2 linked regions of the Sus scrofa genome follow. The protein of the gene in region 1 interacts with the protein of each later gene in a pairwise test. Links are inferred from orthologs where the notes say so. Each region holds a gene or a part of one and is shown on either strand. Other genes may lie near its edges.

Region 1 (15,137 bases):
ATGGAGTAACAGAGAAACAAAGATACAAGACATACTGAAAACAAACAGCAAAAGAGCAAAATCCTACCTTATCAACAGAGTCCACTTAAATGTATTAAATTTACTTATTTATTTATTTTTTGTCTTTTTTTTTTTTTTTTTTTTTTTTTTTTTTGCCTTTTCTAGGGCCACTCCCGCAGCATATGGAGGTTCCCAGGCTAAGGGTCTAATTGGAGCTGTAGCTGCTGGCCTTTGCCAGAGCCACAGCAAGGAGGGATCTGAGCTGCGTCTGCGACCTACACCATAGCTCACCAGATCCTTCCTTAACCCACTGAGCAAGGTCAGGGATCGAACCCGAAACCTCATGGTTCCTACTTGGATTCGTTTACCACTGAGCCATGACGGGAACTCCTAAATGTATTAAATTTAAATTAACAAACACTCTACACAATCAGAATAGAGTAAAAAAAAAAAAAAGAAAATGACTTAACTATTTGCTGTCTATAAGAGATACCTTTTTTATTTTAAAAGGTTGAAATTAAAAGGATAAAAAAAGATATTCTATGCAAAAAGAATCAAAGTAGAATAGGGCATAAGGAATTTAAGTTTTCTCCCTTTTTAACTTGGTAAGTCTAGCTAAAAGATTGTGAATTTTATTGATCTTTCTATAGAACCAACTTTTGGTTTTGTTGCTTTTCTCTATTTTCAAGATTCTTTTTTCACTTATTTTTGCTCTAGTCTTTATTATTTTCTTCCTTAGGCTTAGTATGGGTTTGGTTTGCTCTGCGTTTTGTAGCTTTCTTCATTAAACTTATTTTTTTTTTAGAGCAGCTGTAGGTTCACAGCAAAATTGAGGGGAAGTTACAGAGATTTCCCATATACTCTTGTCTCCACACATGCTTAGCCTCCCTCATTATTGATAGTTCCCACCAGAGTGGAACATTTGTTACAATTAAGGAACCTACACTGACACATCGTAATTACCCAAAGTCTATAGTTTACATTACCATTTACTCTTGACATTCTATGAGTTTGGACAAATTTTTATCGTTTCTTAAAGTGGGAGTTTGGGTTATAAGTTTTGAGATTTTTCTTCTTTATCAATATGGACATTTACAGCTTTAAATAGGCTCCCTAAGTACTGCCTCTACTGCGTTCCTTAAGTTTTGGTATGTTTTGTTTTCATTCATCTCAAAATACTTTCTTTCTTTTTTTTTTTTTTTTTTGTCTTTTTTTTGCCTGTGCTACGGCCCGCTCCTGCAGTATATGGAGGTTCCTAGGCTAGGGGTCCAATCAGAGCTGTAGCCGCCAGCCTACGTCAGAGCCACAGCAATGCCAGATCCGAACCGCATCTGCAACCTACACTACAGCTCACAGCAACGCCGGATCGTTAACCCACTGAGCAAGGCCAGGGACCGAACCTGCAACCTCATGGTTCCTAGTCAGATTCGTTAACCACTGAGCCACAACGGGAACTCCTCAAAATACTTTCTAACAACCCTTCTGACTTCTTTTTGGTCCTTTGGAATATTCAGTAAAGTTTTACAATTCCCACATAATTTGTAAATTTCCTAAATGTCATGCCCCAGTGAATAGAAATGGCGAGAGTGGACATTCTTCTCTTATTCCTGGTATTGGGAGGAAGATTTCAATTGTTCACCAATAATTATGATGTTAATTATTAACACAAACACATGGCCAATTCATTTCTGACAAAATGCAAAGTCAGGAGTTCCCATTGTGGTGCAGCAGAAATGAATCCAACTAGTAACCATGAAGTTGTGGGATCGATCCCTGGCCTTGCTCAATGGGTTAAGGATCTGGCATTGCCACGAGCTGTGGTGTAGGTCACATGTGGGATCGATCCCTGGCCTTGCTCAATGGGTTAAGGATCGGCATTGCCGAGAGCTGTGGTGTAGGTCACAGATGCAGCTCGGATCTGTGTTACTGTGACTGTGGCATTGGCAGCTGCAGTTCCTATTTGACCCCTAGCCTGGGAACCTCCGTATGCTGTGGGTAAAGCCCTAAAAACCAAAAAAAAAAAAAAAAAAAAAAAAAGCAAAGGCAAGTAAATGGAGAATGAATACTCTTTTTAGCAATTCACACCAGAATAATAATACTCAATAGTTAAAAAAGTGAACCTTGATGTAAACCTCATACCTTATGTAAACATTAAGTCAAAATGGATCATAGAGCTAAATGTAAAACATACAACTATAAAACTGTTAGAAGAAAATAAGGGAATCAATCTTTTTTCATAATCTGGTGTTAGAGCTCTTAGACCAAAAAAAAAAATCCATAAAAGAAAATATGGATTTAGATCATATCAAAATTTAAAATATTTGCTCTGAAAGAAAAAAACTGTACAATTAAAACTACAGAATGTTGCTGAAAGACATTAAAGACACAAATAAATGCAAAGATATTCTATGCTCATGGATTGAAGACTTAATATCATTAAGATGTCAGTACTATCCCAAGTGACCTACAGATTCAAAGCAGTCCTTTCAAAATCCCAATGATGTGTTTTGCAGAAATAGAAAAATCCATCCTAAAATTCATATGGAATCTCAGGGGACCCAAACGGTGAAAACAATCTTGAAAAATAAGAACAAAGTTGGAGGTCTCATACTTTCTGATTTCAAAAGTTACTACAAATCTATACTAGTTAAAACAGTGTGGTACTGGCATAAAGACAGACATATATACCAACAGAATAGAATGGAGAGCCTGGAAATATACTTTTATAGCCAAATGATTTTCAGAGTGTGCTAAGACCATTCAATGGGAAAAGGCAGTCTTTTCAATAAGTAGTACTGCAAAAACTGGGTACCGACATGCAAAAAATGAAGCTGGACCCTTACTTTATATTACATACGAACTTAACTCAAAATGGATCAGAGACCTAAACATAAGAACTAAAACTATAAAACTCTCCAAAGATAACATAGGAAAAAAAGCATTATGACATTAGATTTGGCAATGACTTATTAGAATAACACCTAAAGCACAGGGAACAAAAAAATTGAAAAATTGGACTTTATCAAAAATAAAAACTTTTTTTGTAAATCAACCATACTTTAATAAAAAATATGTGCATCAAAAAATTAAAATAAAAAATTAAAAAAAATAAAAACTGTTGTGCATCAAAGGACACTATCAGTAGAGTAAGAAGGCAACCCATAGGACTGGAGAAAATATTTATGAATCATATATCTGATAAGGGGTTAATATCCAGAAATATATAAAGAACTCCTACAACTCAACAACAAATAAACAACCCATTTAAAAAAATGGGCAAAAGATTGAGACACCCTTGTACCTTGCTGGTATGAATCTAAAATGGTATAGCCGCTGCAGAAAGCAGTATGGAGGTTCCTCAAAAGATTAAACGTAGAATTACCATACGATTCAGCAATTCCACTTCTGGGTATATATTCTAAAGAACTGAAAGCAGGAACTCAAACAGATAGTTATACACCCAGGTTCATAGCAGCATTATTCACAATAGCTAAAAGGTAGAAGCAACACAAGGGTCTATTGACAGATGAATGGATAAACACAATGTGGCAGATAAATACAATGGAATATTCTTTATCCTTAGAGTAATTCTGACACATTCTACAACATGGATGACCTTGAAGACATTATGCTAGGTGAAATAAGCCAGACACAAAAGAACAAATACTATATGATTCCACTTACATGAGATATATAGAGTTGTCAAATTCATAAAGAGAGAAAGCAGAATGAATGGTGGTCGGCAGGAGATGAGGGGAGGGGAGAATGGGGAATTCGTGTTTAATAAGTACAGAGTTTCAGTTTGGGAAGATGAAAAAGTTCTGGAGATGGATGATGGTGATGGTTGCAGAACAATGTGAGTATACTTAATGCTACAGAGAACAGGACACTTAAAAATAGTTATAAGGGTCAATTTCATGTTAGGTATAATTCACCACAATAAAACAAGTTTGCTCTGCAAAAGACACTGTTGAAAAGATAAACTGCATACTTGCAAATCATATATCCAACAGAACCGTGTTTAGAATATATAAAGAACTCTCAAAAGTCATCAGGAGAAAATAACAACTCAAAAAACAGCAAAAGATTTGAACAGACACTTCAGCAAACAGGATATAAGGATGGCACATAAGCATATGAGAAGATGTTCAATATCATTAGCCATTAAAGAAATGCAAATTAAAACTACAATGAAATACCACTTCACAGCTATTAGAATAACTAAAATAAATACCAACAATACCAAATGCTGACAAAGATGTAGAGCAACTGGAACTCTCATACATTGCTGGTGAGAATGCAAAATGGTTCAGCCACTCTGGAAAATGGTTTGGCAGTTTCTGATAAAGTTAAACAAACACTTACCATATGACCCAGTAATCCCACTCCTAGATATTTACCTTAGAGAAATAAAAATTTTATGTTCACACAAAGCCTGTACAAGAATATTCATATCAGTATTATTCATAATCACCATAACCTGGAAACAGCCCAAATGCACCTGAATGGGTGAATGGACAGACAAACTTTGGAACATCCATACAATGGAATGCTACTCAGCAAAATGAATGGACTACTGATAGAAACAACTTGGATGAATCTCAAAGGCGTTGTGCTGAATGAAAGAAGCTACTCTCAAAAGATTACGTATTGTATGATTCCATTTATATGACATTCTCTAAAAGACAAAACCACAGTTATGGAGAGTAGATCAGTGATTGCCAGAGATTATGGGTGGAGGCGGGGTGACTATCAATGGAGAGTATGAGGGAGTTTTAGGGTGATGGAGCTGTTCTCTATCCTGATTGTGGTGGTGGTTACATGAATCTACGTGATTTACACGATTTACAATTCACAGAATTGTACACACCCCCTCCCCCCCCAAAACAGGCAATTTTATTATAAGTTCATTTCAAAACTAAAATATCAGCTATTATAGCATCATCATCAATAGTTATATTTTACTGACTAACAAAAATATTCAGAGTTAGTTATGAAATAGGATCTAAAATTCATTTAGGTCACTTTAGGTCTGGTATAATAACTTAAAGGTATAGCGAGAAAAATCGACAACACTAAATGTAAAAGCTTTACAACTTCTACTAACTCCTCTCTTTCATATTCTGTATCAGGATAATATGCTCCCTGTGGATCAGGTCCTATAAACATTGTCATATACTGAATATGGAATCAAATAAGAACTCAACTTAGAAGTCTGGGACCCTAGGTTACATTCCTAAATCTAACACTGTAAGAAAACTCTCGACTTGCCTTTTGTGCCTAATTTTATCTTCCTCTTCATTGAGGTCATGTACTTGTCTGCACTTGTCTTTTTGTGGTATGCTGTGAAGGTTTAAAGCAAGGAGTTTCAAAGACAGGAAACACAACAGATTCACACACCACCCACCCACCCCAAACACCAGCTACTGCTTTAAGTGATTTACATGTATTACCTCTCTGAATCCTCCTAGCAATCCTATAATACAGCTATTAATATTCTCATTTTCCAGATGAAGAAAATCAAGTGTACAGTGGTAACTTGCCCTACATCTTAGAGCTAGTAAGTGGGGAGCCAGGATGTTCCCAGGAATCTGCCTCAAGAGCCCAGGTTCTTAATCAGTATGCCATAACGTCTCTCCACCAAAGGCTGTGGGTTCATTCTTTTGGTTCTTCCTTCACCACTGCTCTTCCATGACTATGATGTCTCTGTCTCTCATTAGAGTCATTCATTCATTCTGTTGGCTTTACCTATTGTCTGAGCACAGATGAGTCCCAATTCTATTAGTTCTGCCCTCTCTCCCAAGCTTCACTACTGCCTTTCCAACAGCCTCCTCAATATCTGCATCTGATGATCCTGCCAGTCTCCCAAATTCAACATGTTTAAAATCAAATTCATCATCTTTCCTCCAAAGTTCCTCATAAAGTCTTTCTTAATTTTGCCAACTGTTAGGTCATACAGCCTTGAAACACCTGGGTTATTATCTCTGAAACATTCCTCTCCACTGACCTTCATTCTCAGACCACAGGTTTTACCAATTCTTCTTTTGTAATGTCTCCTATAACCATACCCACTTCTCTTTCCAATTCCATTGCCATCATCCTAGTCCAGCTCTTCCTGCCGAAATGACCGTGACACCTCCTACATCTTTCTCCCTGCTTTCAGTTCCTCTTGTGCATCCTCTTTACTGGCCACTAAACTAATCATTTTCAAATACTGTTTTCATCTTATTTACTCCTGTGGCGCAAAGACCTTTAACCATATCCAAAACGACTAACTGAATAACTAACTCGGTATCGGTCTATACTAGACTACCTGCCAAAATAAAGTTCAAAATTTTTAGCCCCTCTTCTAATCTTGTTTCTCTTGACACCTTCAAACATGCCACAGTGCTTGCAACATCTGCTACAAGTGAATTGCCTTTCCCTCTCCTTTCTGCAGACTTGGTAGTATTCAAAGAATATTCAAATCTTACCTCCTCTGAGAGGCCATCTTCAGTCATGCCAATGCACAGTGGCCTTTCCTTCCTCTGAACTCCTACAGCATTTAGCAACTGGATCTAGCATTGTCATTAAATGTTATATGTTTCTCTCGCCAACAAGACAGCGATTGGCACAGAGTCAGGAGCCATTTCTTAAACTTCTGCACACCTTTCACAGTGCCTAGCAAAACTTGTCTGTTAAACTCATTCTTTCCGGATGAGACACACACCATTTATCTATATTTTTTGTGCTCATTTCTAGTTCAGCCTTCACAATCTAGCCTCGCCTGCTTTTCCAGTATTATCACCTGTCAGTCCTCACCAGGTCCTATACTTCCCACCACACTGAACTGTACGTTGTTCCCTAGACACACCAGGTTCATTCACACTCCTGTTCCTACTCGCCCACTATCGGGGATGCCCTCTCCCCCTTATTTACCTGACAATGCCTGTTGGTCTGTCAAGACTTGGTACAAATGTCAACTCCTGACTCCCTCAACCAGACTTAAATGTTCTACATCCTCTGTCCCCTCAGCATTTTAGCCACATCTCTACAAGAGCAATTTCCATGCTGTACTGCAACTATGTATATATTTGTCTTTCTCACTGGACTATACATTCCTCAAGAGTAGTGATCGTTTGTCTTTCCCCTACTCGCTTCGCTAACTCTTCACAGTTAATGCCCTGATGTTAAATCTTTCTGTCAGTGAAAGGACGTATTGAGTCAGTGGCGACCACATACCTTGGTAATAAAGAGCCTTGAGGAAGGAGTGACGATCAGCTCCCTGAAATAAAGAATTTTCTATTTCCATTTCTCGCCGGGTCAGCTGTTTGCTTTTTGCAAATCTCTGTGGCAGGCAAAGGATGCGCTGACGTTCTGAGATCCTTTCTTCAATGTCTTGCAGACGGTTCTGTATTGCTTCAGGGGTTGCCCTAAGTTTTGTCCTCTGAAAGCAGAGAAATGAGATGGCATATATCACATCAGACACACCCTGAAAGTGAAGATCTGATACTGTAAACAAGAAAGAAAATGACCAGGGCCCAGAAACGGCCATTTAGACATGTTAGTGAAGAAGTCAAGGAGCAGAGGAAAAGGTTCTTGGTACCAAATGAAGAGATCTCAGGTTTTAGTCTCCAGGAAAAAACTGGCCCACTCACCTTTTCACCTGAAACATGGCTCTTCCAGATCAAGATTTCTGTTTCATTGAGTCCTAGTTCCCTGAGAGAAGCAGTCTCTTGGTCCTTCTCATGCAGAGTCTGGAACTGGGACAAAGTCATAGTCCCAGCTGCTTCCTTTCCAAAGGGTTTGTACATAGTACCAGGAGCAAAGCTCTCCTTCTTAGATACGCATCTGCAAAACAAGCAGGAAGAGAGTAAGAACATCTTCAAGTTACCACGATTCACCGAAATGGGGCTCCCCATTAAGAGGAACAAATGAAACCCAGCAGCAATTTCTCCCTCACGTTCTATTTCTAGGCTGAAGCACTACTGCAACGGTGTGAAACTCCCTTAACAGTCCCTCTGCTCTGGGACTAACAAACGACTGAATCAAACATTTACTTATTGAGAACCTACTATGCTTTAGACACTGTGCTAGGTACAGAAGATTTAACAGTAAAAAAAAGATAAACGCTTTCTGTTTTTGTGGAAGAACTGTGGAAGAGAGACAACTAAACAGGGATGATACGGGATTATAAGAGCTATGTATGTTAAAGGAAGATGCAGGAAAGGTACTTAGCCCAGACTGAGTGGGATATGGGAGGCTTCCTAGAGGAAGACACAGAAGTAAAACTCTGCCTAATAAGAAGTTTTCCAAGGAGTTCCCTTCGTGGCACAGTGGTTAATGAATCCAACTAGGAATCATAAGGTTGCAGGTTCGATCCCTGCCCTTGCTCAGCGGGTTAAGGATCCAGCGTTGCTGTGAGCTGTGGTGTAGGTCACAGATGTGGCTCGGATCCTGCATTGCTGTGGCTGTGGTGTAAGCTGGTGGCTACAGCTCGGATTAGACCCCTAGCCTGGGAACTTCCATGTGCCGTGGGAGTGGCCCTAGAAAAAGGCAAAAAGACAAAAAAAAAAAAAAAGTTTGCCAAGAAAAGGGAGGTGAGAGAGGAGTGTTCCATCCAGGCTTTATGAGGCATCTGTCACCTGCAGGTGAGGGTCTGTGATACTCTACCTGTTTGCAAAATCAATACTTACTCCTCGATGGAGACAGAGGTATCAAGTTGATGCTGAAGGAGGCTTTTCAGCTGCCTCTCCCCTTCTGTTTCCAGCTCCTCCAGGACATGCTCGTCGCTCTTCACACAGCTATTGACCCTGGGGTAGATATAACAATATACATGGAAAATAGAAGAGACAGTAAATCTCAAAATACATTCTTTATCTATATTATCTACCATTAGTAGGGATCTCATTTGTTCAAAGACACTTTTTTTCTTTTTCTTTTTTGCTTTTTAGGGTCGTACCCGCGGCACACAGAAGTTCCGAGGCTAGGGGTCAAATCAGAGCTGCAGCTGCCAGCCTACACCACAGCCACAGCAATGGGGGATCTGAGCCACGTCTGCAACCTATACCACAGCTCATGGCAACGCCAGATTGCTGACCCACTGAGGAAGGCAAGGGATTGAACCTGCATCCCCATGGATATTAGTCAGATTTGTTTCCACTGCACCACGACTGGAACTCCCAACACTTTTCTATTTGTTGTTTTTTATTATTCATTCCACAAACATTAGCTAAACAACCTGCAGGCAGTGAATGCCCTTTGCTAGGTACTGATGGAGTCAAAGATATTCAAGACATAGGCCCTATCCTCAAGAAACTTGTAATTTATTCAGGGAGAGGTAATAGAAATGTTTGTGTTGTGTGCATGTGGGGGAGGGCAGAGAGGGAGGGAGAGAGAGGAGGAGGAAGGAGAGGGAAAAGAACAGGGCTAGACAGAGGGACAGAGGGAGAAGGAGAAAGAAGATATAAAGAAGCATATGCCAAATCAGTAGGCGTTCACAGAAGAAAGAGATTATTGGGAGGCAACATAGTAAATGAAAACTTGGGAAAGGTAATTCTTAACCCTGGCATTTGAAGGATTGGGTGTGATGAAGGAGGGAATGGGGAGAGTGAGTATGGAGGGACAGAAATATGTTCTGGGGCAGATAATGAGAAGCTCAATTTAGCTGGCATTCATGTAAGGGGGCAATGCCAGATGATGCTGGGAGGGTAATTAGACTCAGACTGTGAATGGCCTTAAACACACACCATCTAAGAGGCCTGGACCTTAATGTGCAGTATTAGAAGTAATTTATTATGCAGTTAAGTGACGTGGTACAAGTGATAGTTTAGGAATATGAATGTGGTTATAATACGCCTTATAGATTAGTAAGAAAGAAACCAGAAGAACTAGTTAGGAAACTATTTAAATTTATCAAGCATAAGGTGATAAAAGTCCAAACTGGAGTGGTGATAGTAGAAATGGAAAGGAAGGTTTAGATGAGAAAGGCCTTTTGAAGGTGGAGGTAAGGGAGAAATGAAAGATAACCCCGAATTTTAAGCTATACAACTGAGAGATGTTTTAGCCGTGTTGAGTTAACTATCTATTACAAGACCAGCATGAAATATCAGGAATGCTTCAACTGAGTCTGAGGTGACAGTATGTGACACTGGCTAAAGGAAACAGACATACGACAATTATTGCATAGATGAGAGTCGAGGCTGCACATGGAAATCTTGAGTCATCTGTGCTGCCAGGATCTGGAATTGTGAGAGAGGAGATCACCAAAGGAGAGAGTAGAGAAATAAAAGTGAGGGGGCTCATAACATTTTATAGCTTAAGCATTACTGTGTGGAAATCTAGGAAATGCTAATTAGATCTAGCAAACCCTAAATAATTAAACACTCTGAGTGTAAAGAAATAGCAGGAGGGAATTCCCATCATGGCTCAGTGGAAACGAATCTGACCAGCATCCATGAGGACATAGGTTTGATCCCTGGCCTCCCTCAGTGGGTAAAGGATCCAGCGTTGCCGTGAGCTGTGGTGTAGGCTGCAGACATGGCTTGGATCCTGCATTGCTGTGGCTGTGGCAGAGGACAGCAGCTACAGTTCCCAATCCTAGCCTGGGAAGCTCCATATGCCGTGGGCATGGCCCTAAAAAGACAAAAAAAAAAAAAAAAAAAAGGAAAAGAAAAGAAAAGAAGTAGCAAGGCCATTTAGGTGTGCAACAACAGATTATAAAAGACAAAAATAAAATGAGTTAACTCCTTGAGGAAAAATAAATATTAATCTTCCTTAAAAAATAGCCATTTACTGTTGGGGTTATGATGAGCCCTAGAAGATGTATAAGCAAGATTCCCATATTCTAGAAAGACTTATACCCACTTTGGGAAATTTTTAAATAACCATAGGCTTAGGGTTTTCAAAATTCCTTTTAATTATCTTAATTTTTACTTATTATTTAGAATTCTGAAAGTTTTTGCTAGTTTAAAGTGCCTTTGAAATGAATAAACCAGAGCTAAATACATCAGTACACATGAATTTCAAAAAGAAATGATGAGTGAAAAAAAAAATCGTCACAGAAAAACTCATACAATTATTTGTCTAAATAGAGTCGAAAATTGAATACCACTAGCAGCATTTTGTTCAGATATAAATTCATATGTAGTAAATCTATTTAAAAAGAAAAAAGCAAGGAGATAATTAACACGAAATACTAGATAGCGATTCTCCTCAGTGAGGGAAGAAAAACACTCAGGGGCAGGCACCCTGGGGACTCCTGATACTGACAGTGTGCCAAGGATACTGTATCAATCATACTGCTGTATCAGTTGACACAGTATCTATGATACATGATACTGATAATGTTCTATTTCTAAAGCTTTTAACGGGTACAAGCCTATTCTTATTTAACAACCTGTATATACACATTATTTTGCATGTATGAGTATATCATAAACGTTTAAAAACGTCATTTTGAAATGCAAGGATAATCAGAATTTTTTTAAAAAGATGCTGAAACTGACAGTGCAGGAAATCACTATACCGGTAAGAATTTAAATGTACCACCCTACTCCAGAGTGATTATTCTACTTGCAGAGTGAATACAAAACTAATTTAAGGAGGATCCTTTAAAAAGGCTTTGTGTAGGTCAATAGTAAGCTCAGGCTTTCAACAATGACCAGCCACGTTAAAGCTGCCATTTCCTGCAGAACCGGTAGGGGGAACTGCTCGCAACAATGCTTTTCTTTTCCGATAGTACATGGAACGGGTTTGATACTTTGCTTCTAAATTTGTAGAAACAAAGTACCACTTGCTTACTTTAAGATCTGAAAGCGCTACATGCTCTCCGAGCCCGAGCAAGTTCTCTTTAACACACAAACACTGCAAACAAATGCGCCCTGAGCCCCTCTCTGAGGATGGGGTGGAGGTAGGGCGGGACAGGGAGGGGTCGGCCCATGTTTCTCAGGCGCTGACCAGTTTCATCAGTCAGGCAAGACCCTTTTACCTCGGTGGGTCCCTCTGAAACGGGAAGAAGCCACAGCATCTGTCCAGCTCCCGGGGCCGGCGCCGTGGCCTAGGCTCCTGTACCGGGAGGGCATCCCTACGGGGACCGGAGGCAGCGGCGGCCCTTCCTGAACTTCGCCCCACAGGCCCGTCCAGCCCATCTCCCCTTTTCCCTCCTCCTTTGTCTTCCCGCTCACTCGAAACCCCTTCCCCATAATGTGACATACCCCAAACCCAAAGTAACAAAGCCATTTGAAAAGTTAAAAGGTAGAACAGAGCGCCCTTCACCTCCAGCTCTCAGACAAGCCCTTACCTCTTCATGTTTCCACAGGCCCCTAGCTCTAACTTGGGTAAATAGGCCGCGGACTTCAAGTCCCAGAAATCTGCGCGGCCGACTCCAAGGGGATTGTGGTGGAGCGCGGGACTCTGGGAATTGTAGTCTGCAGCGCTAATAAGCGAATGAGGATGTATTGAGCATTGAGCAACTGGTGTATTCTAGAATTTCTCATGTAGGATAAATGCAACAACCAAAATATCCAGCTTATAAATCTAGGAGTCGCCTTTGACTTCTTGATTCTCATCCAGTATCACCAAATCCTGGCCCCTCTAACTTCCCTCGAATGTGTTCCTATTAATCTTGCCTCTGCTTTCAAGGTGTGGGTATGTGACTGTGGCTGTGTGCGCGCGCCAAATTAGTCACAACAACATTGTTTCTAATAGAATATTGCAAACTTAAATAACCAGGAATATTATACATCCATTGAACAGAAAACTACGCAGCAGTCCCACAGATGACAAAGTTCTCCATGGACTGCTACTGCACAATCTCTAAAATGTATTTAGTGCAAAAACCAAGTACAGAACAATGCATATAGGATGCTTCCATTTGAGTTTTTTTAAAAAGGAATTTATGGACGTTCCCGTAGTGGCACAGTGGAAACGAATCCGACTAGGAACCATGAGGTTGCAGGTTGGATCCCTGGCCTCACTCAGTGGGTTAAGGATCTGGCATTGCCATGAGCTGTAGTGTAGATCACAGATGCAGCTCGGATCTGGCATTGCTGATGCTCTGGCATAGGCCGGCAGCTACAGATCCAATTCGACCCCTAGCCTCGGAACCTCCATATGCCACGAGTGCGCCCTTAAAAAAGACAAAAGACAAAAAAAAACGGAATTTATTCATGTGTTTGCTTATATATACAATATCTCTTGGAAAACATATTGACAAGTGGTAAGTAAATGACTCCAGGTAGAGGAACTGGATGGTGAGGGGTAAGAATGGGAAAAACTTTTCACTCTATCTTCTAGTATCCTTTGAAATTTGAACTACATGATTATATTACCTAATTAATATTTTGTTAAAGAGAACCTTTGTTATATCACGAAGAGCCAAAGAAGAAAAAGATCATGGGTTTGAGGGGGTCACAGCTTGGATTCTCAGTTCCCACAATTATTGACAATAACCGTAGGCAATCTGGACTTGAACTTTAGCTTTGGCAAGTTACAAGATTATGTCATTAAGTTTCTTTAACTGGTCTAGGCCAGTTTCTTCAACTGTAAAATGGGGATAATTCCTCAGAATAGGGTGCTTATAAAGCACCACACAAAAGAATGGTTTTAAAATCACTTTGAAGGGTGGTCATCTATGAGCAAATATTCCAAGTTTATCCAGTAGGTTTAGCTTTATTAAAACTGACTGTACTACAGCACACAAATTAAGAGGATAAGACCAAAGAGCAGCTGCTGGAAGACATTGTACTTCCTATGCCGAGAATTTCTAACAGACGAGAATGTCATGGAAAATATTAGTTTTTCAAAACCTGTCATATGAAAATAACTGCTCTTGAAGCACACAGATGAATGGATGCAGCTCTAATACGTACCACTTTGTGGCTTTGGTGCAGAACAGGGACGAATGTAAGCAAAAACAAAGTGTGGGTCATACCAGGTAAATCCTATATGGTGGTGGGGCTGGATTCTGCTGCTCAACCAAACTGTCCAATTGACACATTGGTCAACAAGGAAATGGAAAAATACAGCAAGGTTGCTGGTGTGCCTGTCCCCTGGGAAGGTGTCAAAGGGTGAAACAAATACTACACTGACCCCCACACCAGACTTGTATACAACTTCTAAAAATACATCTTATTGGTACTGAGGTGATACACACTACATTACAAATCCACTAGGTGGGATGAGTGGAGAATGAATGGCTAAAAATACATATATGGGGTAGAATTACAACTAAAAAGCAAGGTCATAAGGAAGTACTCTAAACCTGTGTATAACTGTAGCCAGTCTGAGTGGTAGGTACCAAGGGACAAGAATTCAGAAAATTGCACTAGAAGGAAAACCAGGTTATTTCTAGCTCTGCCAAATTTATTAACTGTGGAATAGTTATTCCGCTTCCCACAGCATCCCTCTCTCCACTTCAAAAGGATGTCAGACGGTATATAAAAAGCTTTGCGATTTCTAGATGTTATTCATGGGCACAGAGATCTTACCACAAGGTAATTTCACAATTTCACCCCAGAAGAATTTATGACAAACTGAAAAATATGCCTCATTTGTCTTTCTGACAATTTAACAAGGTTAGCTTAATTAAGCCAGAAGTTCCTCCTTAACATAGACATATTTTCAGGCTTTGTCCTTTTTAGGTGCTTTGTTCACAGCACACTTCTGATGAATACATTATGAAGCAATTATAATTTCCAGATATGAAAGAAGATGCGAAAACCAAAAATCGTCTCTTGAAGACGGATAGCATCACTCAGGAAATATTAAGAGTAAACAACTGTGCATGTCTTTCAAATTCCCCAAATGAGATAGCATAAATGCTGTTATAGGGAGAATAAATATAGCATCTTTTTCAAAGGACAAAAAAAGTAGATAAGCACTGCAGAAGTGTCAGCACGACACATTTAAGAATTTTCCTTCAGCTACTATCTTAGCTGGTCTTCGACAATGGTTAGTCAAGACTCCAGTCCCTAACATAAAGGTTGCCTTAAAATTACTGGTAAGAAAAGGTTATTATTTCTGATATTTTAATTCGTATTTGTTCAACAATGTCTTTTGGACACACGTTAGGACCAGAGTGAGAATGAACTTTAAAGACAAGTTAGTCCAGGGCTCCAGATTCCAAATAGTACAGTGAGAGCTCCCAGGAAACCTAC
Region 2 (15,717 bases), on another chromosome or scaffold:
ATGAATATTGAAACTTAAAATCCAGATAATCTTTAAGCCCAAGGTTTTAAAAATTGAAACAAGTAAACAAAGATTTAAAAAATCAACAGGAGAATCATAACTATAATTATACAATTATATCAGTGTGAATAAAGGAGCTACATTGTGCCTCTGAATTTAAGATCTTGTGAATAGACAGTAAAAAGATCTTTTTTTCTTCTGGTACATCCGCAAGATTCTTCTCCTTAGGCAAAATTAATTTCCCAATGAAACCATACTGTCTTCTGTTGACATTCTGGGTCAGATGATAAGCAAATCTCTTGACTTTTAAACACAAAAAAAGCTAGCTCTCTCTGGTTTTCTCTCTCTCTATTAAAAAAAAAAAATGTTACTTCTTCTGGTACAGAGTTTTGTTAGCCTCAGCAAGATTGTTTTCTGGATATTTCAGGCAATATTTTGTTTCACCGAAGAAACGTATTGTAAAGTCTGCAATATTTTTCTAATGTATTTTTTTTTTTTTTGTCGCATGTCTTTTAGGACTCATCTGTGTGACCCAAATCTGTCCAGTGTTTGCATTTGTCTTACATTTCTCATGTATATGGTGGGAGTTTTCCAGGTTCCCCATCCATGCTCTGGGTCTCAAAATTTACCCCCCTTTTTTCCTCCCCCTGTCTTTGCTTCCTTTCTTCCTTCTTTTCTATTCGTCTCTCTCCCCATCCCTTTTTCTCCTCTGTATTCTCTTCCCCTGCTGCCCTCCACCCATAGTCATAATCTCAATTTCTTTTCTGTAGTGATAGCACTTTGTCATTAAATTTACTTTTCCCTTTGCATGATCTTTGGATAGCTCCCTAAATATGAAAGCACTTCTGTTCCATTTTTCACTGTCCCTGAGCAGAGTCTTTTAGAATCTCAATTTCTAATTATGAGGATTTTATGACAATGCATATGTCAAGCTACTAAAACATAGTAAGCAGTTATTAAATGGTGCATCTTTTCCATTTATGATGTTTCTTACTTGCATTTTGTTTTGTTTTGCAAAAGTCCCCTTCTTTTTTTGTTCCTTTCAGGCTCTTTGTATGCTTATACTAATAAAAGGTTTATTATATATAATGTAGTATATATGATATATGATGTATACTACATATTACGTACTTATTATATATTATATATAATGTATTATGTATAATACAATAAAATATTTTAAAATTAACTTAATATTTTTAGCCTTTAATAACCTTTTCAGAGGCCTAATTCTGGCTCTAGGATTTTCACATTTTCATCTCTAACTTTTCAAATCTAAAGAGATATTGTGGATAAATTTGCAGTTTCTAAATTTATAAACTGACATATTTTATATCCTCTTAAGAGTGAGTGATTGTCAGATCAGTAATCAATGAATTATAACAAATGGTGCAGAACACTGAACATGTCATGTGCTGCTCTTTTTCCTCTCTGTGCCTAAGTGTATTAATCAGGCAACTCATCAGGGCTTTCTTGTGTATACACTCTGTCACTTTTGCTGGAGGTCACTTTATCGTAGATCTACACTCAAACTACTTAATGCAGAATAAACACATTCAATGTAAGAATATTAATTGACATTAATTTATTTTAAATTATTATGTAAATAATTATGAATGTATATAAATCACGACACTTTGATATGTATTTTATTCTATAGATCTGAATTTTTTGGATTCCATAATATATGTGAAGAATGAAACAAACATTAAAAATTGTTACACAGAAATTTTTTTTAACCTTTTATTATTTTTTTTCTACTGTACAGCATGGTGACCCAGTTACACATACCTGTATGCATTCTTTTTCCTCACATTACATGTTCCATTGTAAGTGACGAGATAGTTTCCAGTGCTACACAGCAGGATCCCATTGCTAAACCATCGAGAAGGCAAGAGTCTGCATCTATTAACCCCACACTCCCGGTCCATCCCACTCCCTTCCCTTCTCCCTTGGTAACCACAAATATTCTCCAATTCCATGACTTTCTTTTCTTACACAGAAATTTTGATAGTTCTTTCTTCTCTATTTTACTCAGGCCATATTCTATTGTTACTATATATTTTCCTATCTTTTAATCACTTTCTTTGATAACTTGTATAAATTACTTGATGAGTTTAGGTATATGCAGTTCCTCCAATAGAAGTATAGGCAAAATGAAGGATATCATTCAAATTTGAATGAGACGCATAAGTGAATACGTTCTTGGGCAGGAATTGGATATATAATGAAAAAGTAAAAGTACTCAAAGATTAAAATTACTCAGATGTGAAAAAATTTATTAAGCAAAAAAAAGGAGAAAATGATTTGAGGGCATTGAACAGTTAAAGTGTGAATTGCAACCATGGTATTGTAATGTATAATTTCTAAGTGTGTATTTATATGTAAGATATATGTATGCACATATAATTTATGTAAGTTCAATATTTTCTAATGGGAAAACATTGAGATTATGTAGCACAGATTTCAAAATAGATTTTTCTTTAATAATTACTTATTTATCTTACCTTAAACTTAGTATACATTTTAGTATATATTTCAATCATGAATCTTCCATAGTTTACTTCAGGAAGGATAGCAGGAGTTCCCTTCATGGCTCATCGGTTAATGAACCGAACCAGTATCCATGAGGTTGTGGGTTGGATCCCTGGTTCTTGCTCAGTGGGCTAAGGATCCCATGTCACTGTGAGCTGTGGTGTAGGTCGTAGATACGGCTCAGATCCCACATTGCTGTGGCTGTGGCCTAGGCCAGGGGCTACAGCTCCAATTGAATCCTAGCCTGAGAACCTCCATGTGCTGCTGGTGAGGCTCTAAAAGATCAAGAAAAAAAAAAAAAAAGAGAAAGGATATCAAAGGGCACAGTTCACAATTGTAATTTTGCTTTAAAAAGCCTACAGTTAACCCCTAAGGATGTGACCAGGGAGTACTTGACCACATTTTTCTGTAAAGATTTTTGTTAAAGAAAAAATTAACCCCTTCATTCCTGCTTTTGAAGTTTTGTGTCCTACTCCAAGTGTTTTATGAAATCAAAAAATAAATGAAAATGTATACTACTAACTGGGGAATATATAGCCACAAATTTATTTTAGATCTACTTACTTAATTTACACTATTGTGCATTTATTAATTGGCATCAGTAGCAATATTTGAAAATATTTAGTATCTTTCATGTATTTTTAGGAAGGTTCTTTTATTCTAGCTATAAAACCAGATAAAATTTTGGTCCAGTCCCACCTCTAATTCTAACAGTGTAAAGCTTGACAAATTACTTAAATCCTTTGGCTTTATTTTCCTAATCTGTAAAATGAGTATAAGAGTATCAGTTTCATAGAACAGCAACAAGAACTAAATGAGAGGCTATGCTCAATAAATACTACTTCTCTTGGTCTAACTTTGTTTACTTTTGGTTTTCACCTTGTTGATGGAACTGAAAAGATGAAAATGGCATATTGGAAATAAAATAAATGGAATAACTTGAGCACCTTATTGTAATTACATAAATAAATGAGGAAAGGCAGGCAGGATATTGATGTCTTGCTTGTTCTTTAGCAGAACTGCATTTTACATAAAGGGGAGTCATTTTATTGAATAATAAAAGCTTGACAATCACTGTGATTGGCTGACAGCCATTACTGCAGTGTAATTCTAAACAGCTTGTTTTTCAAAATTCTTCCTGAATAACTCTTTAAAACCTAGGCATTGCCCAGTCTACATGAAGGGTTCAAAACTTACTTTTAAAGTGGAGTTTCTTACATTTGACTACTGCTGTAAAAATAACATTCACTAAAGGAATATTTCCTTACTAAATGATTAGAATCATGTATTTTTTAACTTGGGAAAAAAATTTTGGAAAAATTAGCAAACATCTTTTAATGGAAAAAAAAAATTCATGACTCAGAGAAGAAAAAGACCATATTTGGAGAGATCTAATTTTTTTTTTTAAAGACACCCAATGTATTTTACAAGTGAAAGCACAACATATGATTTACATTATCCAGTTTAAAATCCTGTCATTTTGGAATAGAGCTCAACAAGCCTTCTAAAATTACCAAATCCCCTTTGATGCATTCATCCCTTTCAGTATTTCTAATTAGCAACCCTCACTTTAAAGTACGTGTAATAAGTGGGTGTAGAGTTGGCAACTCACCAAAATAAATATTTAATCTTTTAATGGTTATTTTAAATCTTTTATTTAAATTGTGGATTAATACTTTATTTGGTCAATGAATTCTGACCAGAATGCTTGAGAAACATCTTTGCTGTTGAAGCTCTCTGTAATGGATGTGTACTTAATTTTCAGAAATGTCCAGGTGAGATCATCTCCGACGGAGGCGTTTTATCGTAAATGTCAACATTGGAAACACTGAGATAACGATCAGGGGCAGCAATCTGTGAACTGCAGAACTGTGTTAATTGCTCATTCTCAAACACAGAGATGCCAATTAATTCCACACAACCCAGATTCAAAGCAGCAGAGGGAAATGGTCCTGATACTAGTATTGCACAAAAATGAAGAATAGATATTTTCCAGCGCCCAGAAAACTGATACTTGAACAGGCAGCAAAAGAAGAATCCCACTGCATCCAGTGATTGGCTTATGGAATCTTTGTTCAGGCGATAGGCATCCCAAACCAGATGCCAGGTGGAGAAATTCCTCTCACCCTCACCTTCAGAATCCACAGCTAAGCCACCTGGGCTCCCGCGGGCTGCGCCGCCGCCTCACTCCCGGTGCACGTCTCCCCCTCTCGACCGCTAGGTGCTCACTCCCTCCCAGGGAGCACTTACACAATGGACTGACTTGCTTCCCTTGCACCTCTCTTTTGACTTCCAGCCCCAGCCCATAACTTGGGCAAGAGTCAGTCAGGAGCCTCTGCAAGGGAGCAGGGACCCGCGGAGTCTTCCAGAGGAGCTTGGAAGCACGCGCGCACACGCGGACAAAACAAACAATGCCTGGTCCACCAATGAATAAATTAACGACCCCCACGCCCCCACCCATCGCTCTGCAACCCGAAGAAAGAAACCCGGGACGGGGTTGCATAAATGAGAGATGTTTCGCCTTTCAAACTGCAAGCATTCCTGTCTGATGACAGCAAGAAATGCTGTGAATTCTGTTGGCAGTAAAGATTGACAGTGGCTTCGCCGGTGACAACGCCCCCCGTAGCGCGCTGAGCCAGGTTCCCTGAGAACCGAGAGGGGGAAGCGCAGGTGTTGGGGGAGGGAACGGCAGAGGCCAAGGCAGTTTAAGAGGGATGAGAAATGGGAAATTTGGAGGAAAAATGAATGAGTTCAACCGGGCTTTAACAGTGAAACTTCAGGAAAGAAAGGGATGGGATCTCTCCCCAGGTAACTACCCCGAGATGAAAAATAGATGAATGCATAAGGAAGTGGCCAACAACAACAAGTTTGAGGTGAGCAGCAAGTTGTTCACCTCCTCCCAGGCGTTTGATCAGCATCCCCCCAGCTGCCCCAGAACACGCGCTCCGCATCGGAGGCGGCGGCCGCTGTAGAAGCAGCAGCAGCATCAGCAACAGCAGCAGTACCAGCGGCAGCTGCGCGCCTCCGGCCCAGCCCTGCTCGGCTCCCCCTCTCGCCGGCGCCCTGCCTGTCTTGCGTGTGCGTGTGCGTGTGCTCAGCCTCAGCGTGAGGGGCACCTGCTCGTCTAGGCTCTCAGTAGAGGCAGCCTCGCCCGGAGCTGCCGCTGCTTGCCGCCTCTGGTGCTGCCGCTCACAGGCGCTTGAGCTCCCCGTTGCCGCCGCCGTCGCCTTGCCAGCCTGAGTTGGGCTCCGTGGGGCTTCCCCCCTCGCAGCCTCGGTCCTTCCCCGCTGCCGGCAAGTCAGCTTTGCTCCGAGTCACGTGTCAGTGCCTGAGGCAGAGACTGAGAGAAAAAAACGCGCTTCATTCCTTCTTCCACCGCCATACTGTATTTTATCCTAAATCTCATTTTTATTCCAACATTTTACTCCCGCTCGGTGAGTACCTTCTCAGTGGCATTCTTGTCCTCTTCTTCTTCTTTTTTTTTGTCCTTTTTTTGTTTTTGTTTTTTTGTTTTTTTTCTTCTTTTTTTTCCACTTCTTTGATTATTGTTTATATTTGGGAAAGCTGGAGGAGCATGGTTTTGAGCCTTTTCCTGAATCCAAGTTTTTATAGCATGCGATGGTTCTGTAGACAAGGCGCTGTGTCTGGGAGTCGCGGCGACCGTGCCCGCTGGGAGCGACTCCCAAGTCCAGCAAAATATGCAACTGGTTTTAAGGAAAAAGCGATGTGAAGTATGGTGCCTATTTTTTTTTCCTTTGTAAAAAATAAAAAGCATGTTTCTAACTCTTTTTTTGGCATACTCTTTTTCTGATAAGATTTTTTTGTATAGGTGGGATTTTACGGCAGTGTTTACAAGTTTGTGGTTTTGCAATACTGGTACCTGGTACAAACCACTGAGCAAATACATTAATTTTCTATTTTTTGTGCCCTTTTTGGAAGCCGGTGAGAACAAATTGGTTTTTTTTACCTCCTGTTTTTGCTACCCATTGATAACATGAAACTTTTCTTGCAGCTGGTGCCTGGGATGATTTTTAAGCAAATACTTTTTTCCTCCTTTAAATTAACTGTGACTTTTGCACATCTGACTTTTTTTAAAAGACCGAGATAATTTTATGATAGATATCCTGATATCTATATTATCCCTTCTTCCTCCCCCTCCCCTCCCCGTAAATCAATTTTCAAATGATGGCAGTGGAAGGTTTTTCTGGAAAAAAAAAAAAATGAAGTGCGGTTTGGTTTCCTTGTCAACGGAGGATGAAGTGAACAGCTGAGCAGCTCGCAGAGAGCAGGTACTTGGTCCCCTTGGAGGCGTTTCCCGGGTTTGCAATGGCAACACTGGTCTTGGCAAAGAAATCTGTGTGTGTGTGCGCGTGTGTGTGTTTTTGTGTGTTTATGCGCGTGTGTGCGCGCGCGCGGCTCGGGCAGGGTCCGAGCCCGCGGTGGGGAAAACCGTGAGGGGAGCTAGGGGAAACCAAAGTCCGTCCCCGGCCTGGGGCTGGTTTTTGTATGTGCGCAAAATACTGTCCCTCCCTCGGCTGCGCCCTGGTCATCTCCGCAGCGGGCGGCGTCTGCGCCCCGGGCGGCGCCGGCCGGGGACACAGGAGCCGGCGGGCCCTGTAAGTTCTCCGAGGGCCACTTGAAGAGCAGAAGGGGTGAGGGCCAAGGACGCTGCGCGAGCCGGCTGGGGCGGCCCATCGGAGCGCCGGGGAGACTGTGGGAGAAGCGGCAGGGGCAGTTCTTCCGAAGGGGCTGGGTCCTAGCCAGGGGACCCGGGGTGCTTGAGACCTTTCCAGATCCCTGAGGATGGCACCAACCCCCGCACGCTCAACTCCCGCTCCTCTTCTTTGCCTTGAGTAAACAACGCAGTAGGTCTTTGCCAGCCTGTTTTTCTTGTTCGGAAGGGTTTCGCCTTTTTAATGGTGCTGTCTTTGGATCTTTTCTTTCCCTTTTGTGTTGCTTTGGTTTTAAGTGCCTGGCGTCTTCCAGGGTGGGGGAAGATATCTACTTTCTGTGATGGTCAGTTGGATTTAATGTTGAGGACAAAACAGTTTGCATTGGTGAGACTACATCCGTAAGGTTGAGCATTAAAAGCACGATGTGTTTTCCCTCTTTTTAACCACCTGATGGTGGTTACAAAGCTTTTCCCCTGAGACGTGGCACAGGACAGGGGTAGGAGTTGGTGACGGTGGTGATAGATTTCAGTGTGTTGGTAGCATAACATAGTACTCAATGTTGAATGCTTTCTATGGAGTTTAAGACATTTTATGATTGTCCTGTTACATTTCCAGTATAATCTGGTACTACTTTTTGAAGGTAAATAAAATAATCTGGTACTACTTTTTGGTAGTAAAAAGCCATTTATGTACTTAACGCAGTGAAAATCTGCTGGCAAACTTGCTGTCCAAATAAATTTTGTGTTGTACTTTAAATCTTAAGTCTGGAGGCAGTTATTTAAATGATTTGATTCTGAAGCTTTGTGTAATTTGAATTCTGTTAAATAAGGCAGGTGAAATAACTTTTACTTCTCAGATTAAGTTTTCTTCTAGGTTATGTATAGACATAAAACACTAAATTCAACATAGAGAAGGGCCCATGACAAACATTTTAATAATATACAGTGTCTTTTTCAAGCAAATATTTGTCTGTAAGCTCAGTTTGTGAAGTTTTATGTCTGTGTTTCTTTACTCTTTGTGGGGAGAGAGGGAGTGCAAGTGATAATTAATCTGTAGAAGATTAAAATTTATTGCAATATCTAGAAGGCTATATATATTTTTTAATTCACAGTATTCTCTCTCATTTCAGAGGTCTTTGGAAGTAGCAGTGTGATTTACTTTCCTGCTCAGGGTAGCTTTTATCTGTTAAGAAAGTCCTGTTGCATTTATGTCAGGAAGATAGTTTCTGTCCTGTGTGTGGATCACCAGACTTGATATCCTGAAGGGCATGGTTCTAAGATTTGATGCATATATTATGTAACTAAGCTTTAAATTTTGTTTTTTTTGTTGTGGTGGTGGTAAGCACTCTAGTAAAATGTAGTCTTTCGTATGGTTTAAACAGCTAGCAAAAACATTTAAGAAGCCACTTGCAACATTCTGTGAGTTTTTAAAAATCACTGTTAGAAAATAATGTATATAAATAGAAATGCTCATTTATTTAAAAACGCAAGACAATACACGTCTAATATTTCTTTGAAGGATGTATGCACTGTAAGTCCTTTAGTTCTTTTAAAAGAGAGAAACACAGTGAGTGAGAAAGAAACCAGAATTTTCATTAACAGGCTCTCTTGCGGCCCTAAAATGGGCGTAGCTGTGTGTTAAGACTGGTTGGTAAGAGCACAGATGGTACTGTATATTTCCAAGTGGGCTTGAAACCATAGTGGGGTGGAAGAAGATGTCCACAGGATTTCAAGTGGGAGCAGATATGTAGCTGCACATTAAATTTTGTAAACAAAGATCATGCTGAAAACCTTTAATTATATTAGGTTTCCATTTAATGTTGATCATTATATTACATACTTCTGTTAAATTTCTATCTGCTGCAATGGAACTTTGAAATTTTCTCCTGCTCAAATTATATTGAGAATTCTACAGCTCTTTAAATTGGTCACCTATTCTGTGAGTGTTTTGGTTTAAAATCTTTGAAAGTAGTATCCTAGAGTTAGCACCGCCTACTGGTTTATCATGGGAAAATAGTATTGTTAAATTCTACAAGCCACCTACTCTGATTTTGATAAACTTAATCATGCAGATTACTTTTAATTGCTTACTGAGAGGAAATAAAATCTGCTGGGAAAGAGGGTTTGGAGTGAAGGTAGAAGCTGAAGGAAAGAAGACATGTAAATTAAATTGGTTCCTAGACTGTTAGTTGATTTTATAATCTGAATGTAATGAGGAAGTAGTCTCAAATTTAAAACAGCCTATTAAATTTACTGCAGCTTTTCAATGGGATGCCAAAATTTGGACATTTTGAAAAATCCTGGATTACTGATTAATTGTACATTTTCTGTCCCAGTCTTGAACATGGTAGAGAAAGAAAATCTTAGCTGGAGTTCTGTCTTGAGTGTGTGGTCTGTTCAAGAATTTTTAAATGAAGAAATTTTAATCATGAAAAATAAACATTTGATTATTTCATATATTTATCCACACATGATTATTAGCAAGCAAGTAGCACACTGATTTTTTTTCTTAGTCTGCATCAAGCAGCCATTCTGTGATGGGTTATACATAAAGGGGAGAAGTTTCAAACACGTACCTATAAAGGCACTTTTTATATTCTTAACTACAAATGATATATTATCCTTTCAAAAAAACCCAATAGTTTATTTTCTTTAATTTTTATGAAATGGTAATGGTTAAAGGAGCTACCACATTTATGCAACCCAATGATGCCATTAGGATTTGAAAATAATGGAATAGAAAATTAATGCACATACATTTGATATACCAAAAATTATATTTTCCTAGTTAGAAGATACTTGTGCTATTTGGACAATTGTTTCTTAAATAAAATAGTTTTTCTTTTTTTAAAGCAGCTAGTAAGAAGTATGTGGAAAAGCTCCTATGTCTGTTGCATTCTTGAAAGCATTTGATTTGAGTAAGAGTGTGGTCATGCTTTGGTTACTGTTTACTGATATTGTAAGTAGTCAATTAGGCAATATATCAAGTCAAATAAAACTACATTGGAAGTAGAACAGAAGTGAAGTGGATGTTTAGAATTGTTTGCATAATTAAATGGGTTTTGAAAATATTTTCATTAAAATTGATTTATTCTCTCTGACTTTTGAAAATTTTATTTTTAAGTAATTAGCTGTGACTTTAAAAAATACAGCTATTTTCTTCACTTCTTTTATCACATAGCCATTAAGAAAATTCCGTTTTGTGTATAAAAACCTGAGGTAATGATGAAATTTCTTCTTCAAGTTGTTTATGTAGCTCTGGAAAGAAATTAAAACCTAAATTAAAAAAATTCCTCACTGGTCTGAAGTTGTTATTAATTTCTAATTATTTCATTGTTATTATTATGATTTTCTACTTCTAGTGACATGCAAAAATGCATTTATAATCCCATATTCATAATTCAGTATGACTTTTTAATTTAATAAATTTCAGTAATTCACAGTGGCAACAAACTTTCACATTAGTGACGGTGAGGACAGTTAGTTTTGCTATACCCTGGTTTTGAAAACACTGATTATTAAGTAAAATTTAAGTAATAGTCTCATTTCTAAAGTTACCAAAAACTAGTTACACATTTAGCAAGTGTTATATAAATATTTGCCATCACTTTTCTTTTTTTTACTATTACATTTTGACGTGTGGAATACATATATCTAACCCAGCTATTGCCAACTTTTAGTAATTTTGCTTATTCAGGTAGCATTTTAGATTTTCAAGAAAATATTGGGGAATTTTTTTTGTTGCATGTTAGACTTATGTTTAATAGCAAACTTACATTGTGCAAAGTTGATTTTAAATTTTTAAATTCTCCCATAAATTTAAAGGTTTTTTAATTTATGTATTAATGCAGTTATTTTGAGACTGCGTTCTAGAAAACAGAGAGGTATCGATTTCCTTTTTCTATCCATTCTTAGCCACAGAGAGGGCAGTGGGAGAACTTCAGTTAGTGTTTAGGATAAATGTCTTCTGGACTGTCCTTGGAGACTCCTCAGCTGGGGTCAGGACTGTGAGATTTATTTCTTGAGCCTCTCCATTAAATCTAAATGGAGAGGAGAATTATAGTGGAGATCACGGGAACCCTATCCTGCTTTTCTGAAAGATGCAATGGAATGCATCGCTGTGCACCTTCGTACTAAAGAAAAACTAGAGATTTTTTTGTGTATTAATATGTTTCATGAAATTACAGTTGACTCATCGATAAAGAGTATATATATATTTTTTGCTTAGATAATATAGTTGGACATTTTGTCTAAACTTTAACAGTGGAAATTAATTACATTCATACATAATCCATGTGTTTAGAGAAAATATTTATACACATTTTGGTAGCCATATGCTAAATTGTAACAGAGCAACATATTTTTGAGTTAGTTTGGAAACTGTTCACAAGCAGGAGTAGGGAAAGTCTATTTTTGTCCCATTAAATCATTAGGAAAAGGAAAGGAAAGTAGGACTTAACATTTATTGATGTGTCAGATGAATGCACTTTCATTTGTCCTTCCCCTCCATAAGTAGTTGATATCATTATGATTTTATATTTTAGGGGAATCTGAGACTTGGAGAGATCTGTAATTTGTCAAGGCTCCGCAGGTAGTAAAGGGACAAATGATAGGCATATCTGAATTGACACTTCATGTCCCTCTTTCCATTCATGGAGCTGAAATTTTATTTGTTTTCTTTTACCTAGTATAAAACAACCACTGTGTATTTATTCTTGGTATGTTATTTAAAATGACTGTATTTTGGCAAGTTTTTTTTACTATTGAGTGCTATGGCCAGAACAGAAAATGGTATCATTTACCTACTTACTGGTGCTAAAAGGGCCTGCAAGTAACCATATTATCACACATCTCTCCTGGACCATAGGCTTCTCTGAAGAGACCCAATACATGGAAATTTGTGAGGGGCCACCAGTGCTTTGTGGTCAGGGCAAAACAGATGGTTCTTTGTCCACAGTGGGTTTGCAGAGGCTGTGGGAAAAGCACTCAACAAATATTTACTTCTTACAAAATGTGATGTCTACTCTTGAAGCCTTTGCAAAAGTGTGATGTGGAAAATAATCCAGTTGCACAAAGAAAGCTGAATACCTAATTCCTTCATAACACAGCAAATCTATAAATATAGGTGTCTCTTCTGTCTACCAGCATCTCACTATCAGCATTATCCCTTCCTCAGAATTTCACTGTTACGTATATTGAGATGTGACATTTTTCCGGCTCATTTTTATCTGTTAATGACAGAAAACACATAGAACTACAATATGTTATATTAGGATGCTGTTTTTAATTGCATCTTCAGATGTGTGGAAAAAGGTATTCCATTATTAGTTTCCTTAGAACTTGAAAAAATGAATATTTTTCAATAAAGACTGATAAAATATAGTAGAGGCAGTGTGAATAAACATGATGAAATGGATTTCAACGATGATGATAAATCTATGAGTCCATAAAATAATTTGATTTGGAGGCCAAGGTGGAGAGACTATTAAGAGCTCTTTTGGAATTTTGAAAATCAAGGCTATGAAACAAAACAAGAGGACATAAAAATATCCAGAAGAGGGCCTGGTTTGGTTGGGTGAGGGAGAGTGGTTCAGTTTTGGACATACCACTAATTTGAAGTCCCAACATTAACCTGGATGAAATGACCAATGTGCAATTGAAATTCAGGTGTAGAGCTGGAAAGCACACTGAAGGGCTTAAAAAGATGTAACAAAATTATTTATGTTAAAAACTTAGGAGGCAGGAGTTCCTGTCATGGTGCAGCAGAAAAGAATCTGACTGGGAACCATGAGGTTTCGAGTTTGATCCCTGGCTTCGCTCAGTGGGTTAAGGATCCAGCTTTGCCATGAGCTGTGGTGTAGGTTGCAGACACGGCTGATATCTGGCATTGCTGTGGCTCTGGTGTAGGCCGGCGGCTACAGCTCCGATTAGACCCCTAGCCTGGGAACTTCCATATGCCATGGGTGCGGCTCTAAAAAAGACAAAGAGACAGAAAAAAAAAAAAAATTAAGAGGCAAACCTTTGAAAAACACCTGCATTTTTCTGATTGGATATAAAAGGATCTAGTTAAAGGCAGACAGAAAAAGGAAGATAGTCAGCGGAGCCTGGGAAAGTGTATGCCTGAGAGAAGAGTGTTGCTCAACAAGTCTAATACTTCATAGACTTGAAGGAAGGAGACTCCTGAGAAAAAAGTCCTTGAATTTGTGATTAAAATCCATTAATCTTAAGAGGAAACTAAATGAATGAGACATATTAGACTTGAAACTGAAGACGTACTCCATGATTCTGGACATGGTATGATCACATCATAAAGAAGTCAGTTTCCAAGACTGTATGTACCACATCCCTGTGCGTGTGTGCATGTGCACGTGCTCATGCATGCTTGTGTACCTGTAACATAATCTAAATAGCAAGACCAGTAAGATGTTTTTCTGAAATAAGGTAAATTGATTTTAAGTTACCTCTAGAGGATAAAAAAGAATATCTAGGAAAAATTAGAAAAGGAAGGACAAAGAGTGAGCTAAGCCATCAGGTATTAACATATACTGTATATCTTTTAAAAATGTATTTATCAGCTCTCTCTTTAAAAGGCTTCCATGCAGTGTCTTTCTAGCAGCAATGAGCACATTTATTGCTTAAGTCATGGTTTCTAAATACCATATTCCACTCAAGGGGACCAAACTCTCTGGAGAATTTGCTGATTCTAAGTCTGGGCAGGAAAAAATATAAGATGAGCCTGTGATCTCTCATTGTGCCAGGAAGTGAAAAATTGCCCCCAGACAAATAAGGTTGTATAAACTTTATTTGTAAACTGTAACTAAATGGGAGCTAGCTTCAAGGGCCTCCCAGGTGCCAAATTCAGATAAATTTGAACATCCATGGTTGTTGTTTTGCACCCTCAGGTGAAATTTCAAACTGGTCTCTATACAGGCAGGGCCAGGAGAGAACAGAAAAAGAAGCAGACTACTTCAGCTTGGTACTTGTCAATTTTAATAATCAAGGCAACTTATATACAAGTCTTGTCTTAGGCAGCTGTAAGACCAGCAGGTTTCTGTAATCACCCACTGAAATCATATAAAGTTTATTCAGGTTTCCCCTGCTGTCTGAAAATGGAGTGTTCCTGTGAAACCTTTCATAAGACAAAATGACGTAAAGTGAAGAAGCAATGACCTAGGACATATCTTGTTAACAGACGCACAAAATAATTCAAGATAAATCACAGATGCTCACAGACACAGTTAAAGGTATGGAGGCTTTGTGCTGAGATGCTGAGTGTAGGTTCCAGGAAGGAGCTTGGTAGTGCCACTCCTGATGCTCTAGTGAGTGCTGCCTCTGAAAGGCTTGATGCAAAATAATGAATGCTGTTTTCACTTCTTGCTTTTATTCATAAAACGGAAATCCTCTTTGGATTTCTTTCAATTAGTGAAAGCAGGTAGTACTGTAGGTCTTTAGTAACAGCGAGGAGGAGGATCCCTGTATAGAGGCCTTAATGGGATTCAGTCACATATCCAATCCAGATGCTCTCAATAAGGCATGGTTCTCTCAAGGCTGAGTCTTGGAAGTGGCTGAATATATATTCCAGGTAGGAATCCTCTGATTGTCTGGGTTTAGCTTGAATTTCAACCAGTGGTCACCTTCTTTCACTGCCCTACTCCAGCAAGATTGACTGTAACAGATGGTCAAACATTGAATAAAGTAATTTTTATAAGTCCATAGTAATACTCTGAATAAAAAATATTAATGAAAGAAAATGGTTCTGGCAATACTTAAATTGAAAGAAATGGTTAGCCTGCCTTTTAGGAGGAACTCTGGTGTAGTTGATGAAGGACAGCTCTTCTTTACAAAACTTATAAGTTAGTAAATGTAGGAAATGCTAGAATGAGAAAATCATTGTAACTTCCTTTGAAATACACGTTTCAGGTGAAGATCATCCAAAGATGCTAGTAACACCATTAGTTACAAACATCTTGGGGAGTAATCTGTTCCTCTGGTGCTCAAGGATTACTTCTTAATTGCGTTTGGTGTTTGCCTTCTTAAATAGTTGAGTGATCAAACCTGGAATCAGTAACAGGCAACCTGATGCCATGAGCCTCTTGATGCAGTGTGGAGTCTCCAGCACCAACCACTTGTGAAATATTGTTGCAGAATATTTAAGCTGAACCTAAAATCCGTTTAGGCTTAACTTCTAATTTACAGAAAAATACAGAGAAAGTGGAACCTGTTAAACTGAACCACGAGGAGGTAATGATATGTATTCACAGGGTTTACGATTCTTCATGGAAGATACCAGACATGTGGCCTCTTCAAAAGTTATTGCCACTGAGGGGAGACTTTTCTAGATTAAAAAAGACTAAAGACAACCAAATACAGTGTTTGGAGCTTTATTTGATCTTATTTTATTTTTTTTTCTTTTTAAAGGCTATAAAGGATCAAATTTTGATAGGATTGGGGAAATTTGCATATGGGCTAGCTAATAAATAATATTTGGAGATGCCTGCTGAATTATTTAG

Evidence for each region.
Region 2: the proteins of RBM41 (region 1) and RALYL interact in binary tests that used the Homo sapiens proteins (3 or more experiments, as listed by UniProt). The two-hybrid records come from large-scale screens. The link is inferred for Sus scrofa from reciprocal best matches to the Homo sapiens genes RBM41 and RALYL.

Annotation. Positions count from the first base shown.
Region 1 is NC_010461.5:87,562,751-87,577,887, forward strand, and holds the start of RBM41 (RNA-binding protein 41), read right to left. Parts: upstream 12,369-15,137; 5' UTR 12,289-12,368; coding exon 12,281-12,288; intron 8,793-12,280; coding exon 8,676-8,792; intron 7,831-8,675; coding exon 7,638-7,830; intron 7,427-7,637; coding exon 7,222-7,426; intron 5,344-7,221; coding exon 5,272-5,343; intron 1-5,271. UniProt on the Homo sapiens protein: May bind RNA.
Region 2 is NC_010446.5:52,549,453-52,565,169, reverse strand, and holds the start of RALYL (RNA-binding Raly-like protein), read left to right. Parts: upstream 1-5,510; 5' UTR 5,511-5,969; exon of another isoform or gene 5,970-6,824; intron 6,825-7,050; exon of another isoform or gene 7,051-7,151; intron 7,152-7,174; exon of another isoform or gene 7,175-7,400; intron 7,401-15,717.